3 linked regions of the Oryctolagus cuniculus genome follow. The protein of the gene in region 3 interacts with the protein of the main gene of each other region in a biochemical or structural test. Links are inferred from orthologs where the notes say so. Each region holds a gene or a part of one and is shown on either strand. Other genes may lie near its edges.

Region 1 (3,650 bases), on a different chromosome or scaffold from region 3:
CAGCAGAAGAGCTTTAAAAGGGTGGCGATCAGAGGAAACTATTCCTGGAGAGCCGATGCGCCTCGTCCCTCCGTCTAGCTCACAGCCACACAGCAAACGAGAGCGGCAGCAAAGAGAGCTTGCATCACACAACCCTTTGGTACCGCACATGCACTCTGCTAACGGATATGTGGAGAAGACAATTCACCTTAGCAGTCCTTCTGCCTCTTCCTGGTTTGGTACTTTGTGGAGGTGGGATAATGGCTATGGAGTCATGTGGTGAGGACTGGACAGGGCTTTCCAAGTCCTGCTTTACGCCATTCTGTACGGATTGTCCTTGGGGAGGGCTTCCCACAAAAGGGTTCGGGGAGGATTGGATATGGAAGCCGTTCTGTTCTTTTTCAGATACCCCATTGTGAGTTCTCACTGCTGGCTGGGTTTGCGTACTGGAAAAGGGCCATGGGCCTGCCTGAGATTCCTGTTTGCCAGTCCGGTTAGAGATCTGGTCAAATTGCTGACCAAAGTAATCAACATCGCCATTCAGGGGCCCGTTACTCAGGGGAGCAGGCAAGCTACTCAAATTCTCTTTCTTCTGATCTGGAGGTTTGAGAGAATCAAACGAAGAGGGTGTCGATTGGTCGGACTGTGCAAAAGGATCATCACGGAAAGGATCAGGATTAGGGGTGGGAAAGAAGTTGAGATTGGCAGAAAAGGCATTTTCAGGCAAAAAGGTTGCCTGAGGCTTTGGTCGAGGAAGAGAGCAGGAGGTGATGCCATTTGTTAAGAATGGATTTTCTCTTAAAGAATTCTGATTGGTGTCGATTTCAGAGTTTAGATCCACTAACAGGATATCTTTGCTTTCCTATCACATTTGGAAAGAAAAAAAAAAAAAGAAAGAAAGTGTTAGTCCATGTTATGACTTCAAACAAGAAAACTACTTAAGATGACCAGGGCTATCAACATTCCCAGAATTTGGTTGTGACAAACTGGTTGACCATTACCTCCTCCCATCAATCTGCTGAGTGCATTTACCAGCCATAGACCAGGTCTCCCCCAGCCCCTTTCTTGCTTGATTAAGTCTCGTTTTTATTAAATCTCAGCTTTCTGGCCCTTTATTAAGTGAAATCTTACTGTTGTTTCCTTCAATGTCTCTGCTTATTCTGGTCCACATATACAGACTGGCTGAGTTTGTTATCAGCATTGTTTTAATTCATGCCTTTTAAAGTCTTAAAGGGACTGGATTGTGAGTTGCTCTAGGTATGGTAAGCTTGAAAATCACAAGTAACCTGAGCAGCCTGGCCTAGTTTCCTGTCTGATGTATACATCTTCCTATTGTAACCTCACAGTCTAGTGTACTATTGCCTCACTAATTGAGAGAATTCATTGGTTAAGACATTCATATTTTATAGTTCTGGTATGTGATGAAGTTTAAGATCAAGTACATTTCCCTATAACTGTTCCAGTTCTTCCAAGAAAAATAGTATGATTATCCTTTTATACCTACAGGTATACCTCTTTAAAGATTTCAGACTCCAAGGGAATGTGTTAGCTAAGCTGGATCTCTCATTCTTACCGCCTGAGTCTCTCCTCTGGACACATCCTTTTTGTCTACGTCCTTCTATCAGATCAACACAAAATACTAATCTAATCCAGCACACATCAACCTCTCCTATGTGTGCACTTTCTTCATAACAGAGCTTAGAATGGCCTGTGTTTTGACAGTAATATCATCTACTTAGTGGCTAAAGTTGAAGAATCACTAATCTTTAATTTATATATATTAGAAATGTGGATGTAAAAGTGAATTAGAAAGATAAATCAAATGTCCTGTTTCATCTCTAGTATTTTTTTGGTGTGTCAATTGGCTTCTCAACTGTTAGATAAAAAAATCCTTAGCATAAAAGCAACCAATATGATGAATCTGGCATGTCATGATTCCTAATTATGACGTAACTCAGTATGACTCACTGTGGGAGAGTTCTCATACTCACAAATGCTCCTCTGACTTTGATCCATTAACTATTTAATTAAGCTCAGCATAGAAGAATACAGACAATAAAAACTCCCTACTGGAAGTAGTATCTAGACTAGACATTTGACATTACCCCTTGCAGAGTAGCACATATTTTGATCACTGGGAGAAAACGAACCTCAAGAAAAGAGGAGATTCTCAAAACGGGTAAGTACAACAAAGGGCTCAAACAGGCCTCCTCAGCTTTTAGAGAAAATAACGCTTTTTGTTTAGAAACAGCAAAAATCAGACCTAATTGTATTACATTTTTGTGCTTCCTTTATTGTGAGGCATAGAAACACATTCTTAAAAGCCAGTTTTTCTTTATAACAGGAAGAATTTGTCACTAGAAAGACTTTATAATTTAAACTTTTTTTTTAAAATCAAAGGCAGGGATTGGAAGACCTCTTAATGCATATATCTTTATACAATCTTACAAAAGCTTGTGATTTCAATATTTATTCCTTTGTTATGAGCCACCTCTGGGTTAGAACCGTTGGGTGTTCACAGCTGGTAGAGTTCTCCTTTTCAAACACTTGAGAAGAAGTTCTTAGGACACCAAACAGGAGGCACAATGTTAGACTTCTGAATAGTCACCCTATAAGTAAAATGTATAAGGCTCTCCTCAGGTTGGGTTTGTTGGTAGTCAAGACTAAGAGTCTACTTCACAGGCTGCAACTGCAAGATGTGAGACCCTCCGCACCTTTCCCCTTGACCAGAGCTTCATGGATTCCTTATTGGACTGTCAATCCTTGCATCTGCTTGGCCACCATTTGGACACCTGAGAGACAGGCACTGGAGACTGGAAAGTGAAAGACTCTACTCTTGAGGAGTTTTACGAAGGGGTACAGGAGGCAACAGCATGTGTCACTCTGACTTCCACAGCTAGCTCTTCTCTGGGTAGCCAGTCTCTACTAACCACTCAAAGCCTGCGAAATCTAACTCTTCCCTTCTCAAAGCCTTTGATGGCTTCCTACTTCTCCTTACATTAAAACAAGCTTCATTAGGGCAACTTCCAAAATGATTCACAATAGAATCCAAGTTGTTTATAGCTTAATTACTGTCTCATTTCGTACACCCTTCAAAGACCCAACTCAAATTCAGATTCTTTACACAATCTTTTCTCATTGATCTTTCAACTTCACCTGTTCCCATTCCATGGCATCTTATGGAGTATAGACGAGTGTACACACAATGTTTGAACTTTGTGCCCTGATCCCATCCCTTGTACCAGATTTAATCTCCTTAGTGATGGCTCATGCATCACACCGTTTTCTCATAGTAACTGTGCTCTCACATGGTGAAAGTTTATACGTAGAGATTATGTCTTTTTCTCCCTTCCCCCTCCCTCTTTTCTTAGACTGTCTCCCTCTCTTCCTCCCTCCTTTCTTCTCCTTCTCTTTCATTCTTGATACAGTGTGGAAGGATAATGCCCAAACATTTTTCCAATAAAAGTTATGTTCTAAGGGATGTCACTTAATTTGCAACATGAGCATTATTTAAAAGGTGTGAAACTTTCCTGTATAAAGGTGAGGGGAGTGACAGCCATCTGGAACTACTAATAGCACCTGGGTGATTTAGAGTTCTCTCTCTTATCACATCTTCCAGAGTAGTTGTTATGAGTTGAATATTTCTGAACATGCTGATTTTACCAAGAAAA
Region 2 (4,231 bases), on a different chromosome or scaffold from region 3:
AACTGAAATTGGTGGTAATTAGAAATTTATTACATGTAAATAAGTCATGTGATTTAAAAACACAGGATGACATCTCTGAAAAATTGTGTTTATAGAGTTCACTGCTCCGTTTACATTTCTTTAGGCACATGGTTATTTCCATTACTTAAAGGTCAGTACTTGCAGTGCTAGCGATTACTTATATTGAGTGTGTCAACTTTTTTTTTCATTCATAAAATAAGTAGGTTGGGACTAAATGACCTGTTGTGATTCTTCTGAAATTCTATGATCATGTACAATATACAGTACAAAACCTGGTTTAAAGATTTCAATATATAGGGAACAAATTAGCAAACACTGAGGTGCTACGGAAGCCAATGACATCTTCAACACGGTGAAGCAAAGCTGAAAGAGGATGCTGCATACTTTATAAGGTGCTTCAATGTTGAATGTGACCTAATTTCTTATCCTTTCTTCACGGGTGACATTGCACATTTTACCAGGGTTTTATGTCAGCGCAGGAATTTGATGCATTGGAGCAGAACACACCTGCTTTCGCGGAGTTATCATTCAAAGCCAAGCTTGCTGTAGGAAGGTAAGAAGTGTAACTGAAGTCAGCACAGTAGAAAGTTCACACGCACAGAACAGTACAAGTACCAAAAGCACTTCACAACAGACAGAAATGCGAGTGAAAGAAGAACTGCTGGAGCGAGAGCAAATGGACTCCGAGAGCGTCAGAACCGCAAAGCTCCTTGAGGGAGGCGAGCTGGTATGGGGCAAAACTTGGTAAAAAAAAGCACTTGTCCACACGGGCAGCCGGGAGACAGCCTCCGCGTTCTAGAACTGCAGCCCTGGCCCTGGGGTCGCTCCCTTCACTTTTCTGATTCTCTGCTGCTGCATCTAGAAAACAGGTGGATTCATTTAGACAGCTTAGGATCCGCTTGGTAACGACTCATAGACCTCCAGGCTACACTTTTCCACTTTGCCGGGAGGTCTATGAGCAAGTTAGAACTCCAAAATGTTTGTTAGGAAAAAAGTATTTACTGGTTAATTCTACGCACCTGCTGCAATCCCAACTGTAAACAGAGGACTGCAGTTTAAGAACGTGATGACTAGAAAAACAAGACCTGCTTACATCTCCAGTGTGTTTCCCCATTTCCTATGTTAAAGTAACAACTCTAAAGATTAAAAACGTAAATCGAAGTGGACCCGGTCTTGTTGCGACTAAGCAGCCGAGCGAAAACAATGAGACGCAACGCAACTGGGGTAGGGGTAGCCCGGCGGCGGTGTAAAGACCCTCCGGGACCCGCTCCAGGGTCGCCGCAGGCCTGGTGGGCGGCGAGCTGACGTGGAGGGGCGGGCCTAACCCGCGCGGCGGCGGAAGGACCCGCCCCACTGGCGGAAGTGACGTCGGCCGGAGCTGGCTCTGAGGGGAGGTGAGCCGGTCTGTGGAAGGAGGCGGTGGTGGCGGAAGAGGTTCGGTGGCTGATGGCGGCTCTGGGTCGGAAGCCTGTCTGACGTTGTCCGTCGGTCCGCAGGCTTTCCGGAGGTAAGGCGCCTTTCCCCGGTCCGCCTCAGCGCCTCGTGAGGGGCAGACCCCAACTGGAGCGCTCTGGGGGGCTCGTGCTACGCCCCTCAGACTCGCGTCTACGGGCCCGGCCGGTGTCGGCAATGGTTTCCGTGGTGACGCTGCTGCCAAATGACGATGCTTTCCCTTTCTGCAGTCACCCCTTCTCTCCCGGACTACGACTTGTGACGGCGGTGTGGGCAACTCGGGCCAGCCGGGGGGTTGGGAAAGCGACGGGCGGCCGCCCCGCGGGGGCGGGCAGGCCCGTGGGATAGGCCTTGGCGACCTGGGGGGCGCGTGTGGGACGGGGGCGACCCGCGGGGTGTCGGGGGAGACGGGCGGAACCTCTGGGGTCCGAGGCTCAGCTCCGGGGCGCGTGTCCTGAGGGCAGTATATGTGTGCGCGCCCGCGGCTAGGTGAGCTTGGTCGTGTCCCGAAAGGACGGCCGGGTTCGCCACTGCGGAGAGAAACCCAGCTGTTTTGGTTTGAGTCGCCCGTGGAGGAGGAGGCGGAGACTCGCGGTGCCGCCTACTTTTGCGGGCCGGGCGGAGCTAGCTGTCCGGGCCAGGTCGGCTGCTCACCCGGGCTGCGGGATCGGCCCGCTCTGCCCCCTCGCCTGGGGATCCAGCGGGGAGTCGCGTCTGTCTCTGCTTAGTCGCCTTGGCTTGCCCACTCCTAGCCGCTGCGGGTCCGCAGGTTGCGCACAAGTCCCGGCAGGCGTTCGTGAACCTGTTCGAGCCTGTGTGTGTTCGCCTTCCTGGTGAAAGTTGCTGGGATACGCTGTGGCGTTGCAGACTGATTTTTGGTTTCATGAAGTAGTTACGAATTGCTGTTGTGCTAAGGATGTAGATGGGGAAAATAAACCGTCCTTCTTCAAGTCTGCTTTCCGCTGATGGGAAAATTCCAGAGAACTGTGCCAGGACAGTTACTAATTATCGTTTTGGCTTTCAGTTCCAGAAGCCTTTAAAAAGATGCTTTGAATAACGTGTTAGTCTAAACGTGGGCCTTTCGTCCTCAAAGTGCCCTTCCAAGGTAGAGGGCTGAGGTCAGGCGCTCTCCTTTGTGCTTTCTTGAAGGATTATTTGATTATGCTAGGACGGACTTCTTATTACACTTCCCGGTTTTTTTGCAACTTGATCGTTAAACTTTAAAAAACATCCTATTGCAGTTCTTGTTTTTCTAGTCATCACGTTCTTAAACTGCAGTCCTCTGTTTACAGTTGGGATTGCAGCAGGTGCGTAGAATTAACCTTTTTCCTAACAAACATTTTGGAGTTCTAACTTGCAGCCTTTTAATAGGATGTTAAATATTAATGAAAGATTGTAACTTTGTTCCTGTACTTCTTTGGAGGAATTACTTAACATGCTTAGTTTACTGGAGTTGCATTCTTTTGGAATGGATACTATGTAAAATTTGGGCTTTATGCACTCTGATTTTTAAATATTTCGCCCCAAATAAGCTTTTAGAAGAACATAAAAATTCCCTAATATATATAAGTAAATATCACTGCATTTTAGAAACCAGTTTATTACATAAACTTGAAAAGTAAGTAAAAATGGTGTGGGTGAGGCCAGGCAGGGCCTGGGAGCACTTAGCTGTAAAGGATTCTGGAGACAGGGTCCTAGTGAGAGTGCAGATTAATAGACTGGAGACACCGCTTCTATCTCCAGAAGTTTGTTGTTAACATCATCTCTGAAGGAGAAGTCTATAAACCAGTTGATAATCTTTAAGTATGAGTAATTGGAGACCATTTGAATACCAGGCATTTTTTTCCCTTCATTCGTTTGTCCTATAGGACTGAAGTTTGGAGATGATTTTAAAGATTCATTATTTGTTTAAATGGGAGTTTTAAAAATTTTCCATAAAAACTCTCTCAACCACTAGCTGAATTCCAGCATTTTTAAAGGCACAAAGTGTTCATATTTTAAAATGCAGTGTATTGCAGTAGGTCATCTTTGGAGTTTTTATTACTAGTCTGTTTGATTTGCTTATTTGCTTTGCTTTTACTAACTTTATTTTGGAAATCTTCAAACATGTGAAAGGAGAATGAACTGTAAGAGGAGGCATATTTTGCTAATTTGTTTCATTACCTCCTCCAGTACCTTTGTTTTTTCACTTGAAGTTGTGCTTTCTCTCTCTAATGTCAGAGTGAGACCAAAAGTGAGTCCTCAAATTCCTGTGACAGATGGGACTGGGCCAGGCTCAACTCAGGAGCCAGGAACTCAATCCAGGTCTCCCACATGGGTGGCAGGAACTCAAATGTTCTGGCCATTGCCAGCTCCCTCACCCATCAGCAGGAAGCTGAAGTGGAAAATGGAATTAGACTGAAATTCATTGGCCCTTTAGCTGCTGTGCCAAATGTCTGCCCCTCCCTTGGAGTTTTTAGAGTCCCAGACCTTGACATTTCACTTAGTAGTAGTATAGTGTACTCTAACTGATCAAAACTTTAAAAAATAGAATCACCATAACCATATTATCCTGTATAACAAAATTGCTTATTTCTTGTTCAGTTTTAATTGTTAGGACTAAAGTAATTATCTAAATTAAAAAGATTAATTTGACTTTTTGTATTAAGTGCATTGAAGTTCTTCATGTATTCTATTTTCTTTATTTTTTAAAAAAATTTTATTTGACAGGTAGACTTACAGACAGTGAGAAGGAGAGACAGAGAGAAAGGTCTTCCTT
Region 3 (3,567 bases):
TGGAAAAGGCTAACAGAGATCTAAGTTTTTCCACCAAACTGACTTGGGTGTGTATGCACAGCTACTCTATGTAGGTTATTCCAAGTGTGTCTGAATTAGGGCAGATCTCCTGGTAGCCAACATTATAACTCAGGAGACTATTTTAAATGGGTAAGTTCTAGGACAGCCATGTGGCATAATTAGAAACAAAATGGCTTAAGATTATAATTTTATTAATTATTAGAATCAAAAACTACAGGCTTATAAACGGTGTTTTGCTATGACAGATTTCTTTAGAAATTGTTTGAAACGTAAAGTTCTCATTATAATGACTTTAACCTTTTTGATTAATTTCTCATCTAGTGCCTTTTAATGTATCTAGAGGATTCATAAAACTATTTCTGGAAACAGTACTGAGAGAACAAGTCATTAAAATCAATTTAGTAATTAAATTTTTAAAAGACTTTACTTGTTACTGGTGAGAAAACAAAGCTTATCATTTTCCAATCTTACACAAATAAAAACAACAATGAAAGCAAGGGATGAAAGAGAGAGAATAGACCATTTATTTCAGTAACTACACCTTGTCTCCAATCACAGGGACCAAATGACCCAAGGGCAAGGAAGTCAATGCAGTAGTACAGCCTCCAGGGAGCAATCACATTCACATTCTCAATTAATATCACAGACAGGACTATTTAATTTCTTTAACACAAATAATCATTTGCATCATAATAAATAAATATCTTTGTACTAAGACACATATGATGAGAGAAGCTCTGAAAACAGTGTCTGTGGTTCACAGACACTAATTTGATCAGCTGGGAAATCTTTTCCTAACTGAGGTATTCTTTCTAGGAAAAAGAAATTACTGAAGTTTCATTTCAAAGGTTAGAGTCTTTAAAAATTAGAAAGAAAGGTGCGGAGAATAATTTTACTCTCTAATTTTATTCTAGAATAAAACAAGTCTCCTTAGAATTATGCCCACATAACTCCTTGATGTAATTTTGTTCCTAATCTCCTAATATGAAACTCATAAATATTAGGTTTGAAACCGCTGACATTTGATCAAAACTAACAGCACACAAAGACAACTTTTTTAAATTATCAGTTACATGAAACAAGCAATTACTAAATACAAGAGCTTTTGAATTATAAAGCTTATAAAACAGCTCTACAGTTAACAAAATCTCAAAGCCCAAAAGAGACACTAGGAATTAAAAAAAAAAAAAAAAAAAAAAAAAAAAAAAAAAAAAGATGTCTGAAGCAGAACACCAACTTAAATTGTATGAAACATCTTGGACAAGATTCTGATACAAAAATTCTAATGAAGAGACTATTTTAATTCAGTTAGTCCAGTTATGCCACAGTGCCACCTAAAACCTATTTTCCTTTTCTTTTTGAGATACAAAATATATCTCAAAATTTTTACACATTTAAACAATGTGAATTTCTTTGATTTGTCCATGGAATATAAAAAGCACAAGAAGAAACACAAATCTGGGTGGGATACCATTAATACCTCCTTTATCACCTAACACTCAGGTATCTGATACATAAAGGCTTTTCTAGAATTCTAGAACTTAGGTAGGAGAGATTCACAAAAACCAAGACATAATGCAAAAGAGAGGAAAAAAAGTCAGAATCTTCATTAATTTTTGAAAAAGTTAGTAAAGAAAAATAGATAGCTTTTAAGAGCAGAAACATTAGTGCCTTGATCATTTTAAGCGCCTTAATTCTTGTCAGAAATTTAAGCTAAGGTTTCATTATTCCAGTTATATGGTACTGTGCCATCCTTAAAAAGCAAGTACCTTACATTAAAAAAAAAAAAATCTCTTTTCCTAAAGAATAGTTAGGATGGACTTAGAGGAGGCTGTTGGCAAAAGAAGAGAAATGTCAGAATCTGTCCAAGTGTAACAAGTATTAGAATAATGAGATGCCTAAGACTCATAGCTGCATACAGGAAAATGATTTTTAAGTCCAAAATTCACTATCACAATCTTAATTAACCTAAAACAAATTAACAAAAAGGCAATGATTAATAAAATCTGTTCACTTTGTTTAAGTATTCTAACATGATCGTGAAAGGGTTACATCTTTCGGGCACACACCCCACCCAGGACTGTGGCAAGGGCTCCCAGTTGTCAGGGGAGCGTGCAGCATCTACTTCAACAGATTCTGTAGCATAGCTGTCGCATACGTGGGCCTGGCCTGTCTGCTCTCAATCGCGTTCTGAAGGTACTGGATGCCTCCACAGCGTTCCCAGATTTCTTCAAACTGTCTTGGCAAAATCTCAGCTCCACGCTTTCGAGTCAGGCCGGTCTCTTCAAGATTCAGCTCACACATCTCCATGTCATCTTTACCTGCATACAGCAGGCATCAGAAAGTTACCATCTCTCTTCCCAGAAACATTCCTCGTGAATATTACTGAAATAGCTATCAGTTCTCTCAGACTTGAGAACTTTCTAACTTACCTTTCTATTAGAGGAAATCTAATGTTAATAAATAAATTCACCAGAAGCAACTTGGGTTTGTCCCCCATCAAAGAGCCTTCCAAAATTTATAAACACTTCAGTTGACAAAGCAAGTTATCAGGATTAATAAAAACGCTACACTTCCTGAAGCCATTACAAATCACTGGATATAATTACACCAGTGAAAAGGTTCTGAGGACACAGAGAAGTCTCTTTATGCACTCTGCAAGGACATAATTAATCTAAGCCATTTCACATTATAAATCAGTTAGTCCTCAATTACTTGGAAATGTGATTGAACTACAAAACTCCATCCCTCAACTCTGAAACGTAATGAATTCTTACGTTACATATTAAAATGTTTTGTTTAGAGGGCTTATACCCCTTTTTTGGTTTATACATATACATATTTTCATGTGAATCATACACACCAGCCACAAGAAGGATGGGTGGCTTGTCAGGATGCAGTTCCATTTGCCTGGCAATCCAGGGTCCATCGAAATGGGCATACCACCAGCCTTTCTTCTTACTCTGGGGGTCTTTGTACTGGTCAGCAGGACGGATGAACGGGATGCGGAAGAAGCGCTGCTGTCGGTTCATTTCAATCTCCTGCTGCCTGGCAGGAAGCTGAGCTGCTGGGTTCTGCTGAGCTATCACACAGAACAACGAAAGTTACACCACAGCACCGGGGAAGAGAACACAGCCTCTAATCCTAAAATGAACCAAGAACTTGGAAAACAAGAGGGACTCACCAGGAAATTTTAAACAAAATGTAAATATTAATTGCCTCTAAATGAATATAATTCAGAGTGTGATATTTTCTTTCTGTCTTTCCCTAAACATGTTCTTAGGCCTTACAAACACACAAACACATACACATACCACCCCCACCAACAGCAACAACAGTACATCCTACAAGATCACCACAAATGACTATCAATAACCGGCAAGAAACTCACACAGCAGGAAAGCAAACTTCTTTTATGCAATTTATATCTTTCCTCCTGAGTGTTTAAATGAAAGTTACAGCATAACTTATTGGATGTTTTATGATAAAAAAAAATACACATTAATGTTAGAACTGGAAAGGTTATAGACATGTGTCAATTAAAAC

The links.
Region 1: the proteins of MYO6 (region 3) and DAB2 form a complex in vitro, tested with the Homo sapiens proteins (7 studies listed by BioGRID). The link is inferred for Oryctolagus cuniculus from reciprocal best matches to the Homo sapiens genes MYO6 and DAB2.
Region 2: the proteins of MYO6 (region 3) and TAX1BP1 form a complex in vitro, tested with the Homo sapiens proteins (5 studies listed by BioGRID, with this or other methods). The link is inferred for Oryctolagus cuniculus from reciprocal best matches to the Homo sapiens genes MYO6 and TAX1BP1.

What each region holds. Positions count from the first base shown.
Region 1 is NC_091445.1:64,778,891-64,782,540, forward strand, and holds part of DAB2 (disabled homolog 2), read right to left. Parts: intron 2,744-3,650; exon of another isoform or gene 2,662-2,743; intron 2,159-2,661; exon of another isoform or gene 2,023-2,158; intron 842-2,022; coding exon 188-841; intron 1-187. UniProt on the Homo sapiens protein: Adapter protein that functions as a clathrin-associated sorting protein (CLASP) required for clathrin-mediated endocytosis of selected cargo proteins.
Region 2 is NC_091447.1:19,317,325-19,321,555, forward strand, and holds the start of TAX1BP1 (tax1-binding protein 1), read left to right. Parts: upstream 1-1,368; 5' UTR 1,369-1,528; intron 1,529-2,055; exon of another isoform or gene 2,056-2,780; intron 2,781-4,231.
Region 3 is NC_091436.1:96,517,357-96,520,923, forward strand, and holds the end of MYO6 (unconventional myosin-VI), read right to left. Parts: intron 3,104-3,567; coding exon 2,885-3,103; intron 2,343-2,884; coding exon 2,143-2,342; 3' UTR 523-2,142; downstream 1-522. UniProt on the Homo sapiens protein: Myosins are actin-based motor molecules with ATPase activity. Unconventional myosins serve in intracellular movements. Myosin 6 is a reverse-direction motor protein that moves towards the minus-end of actin filaments.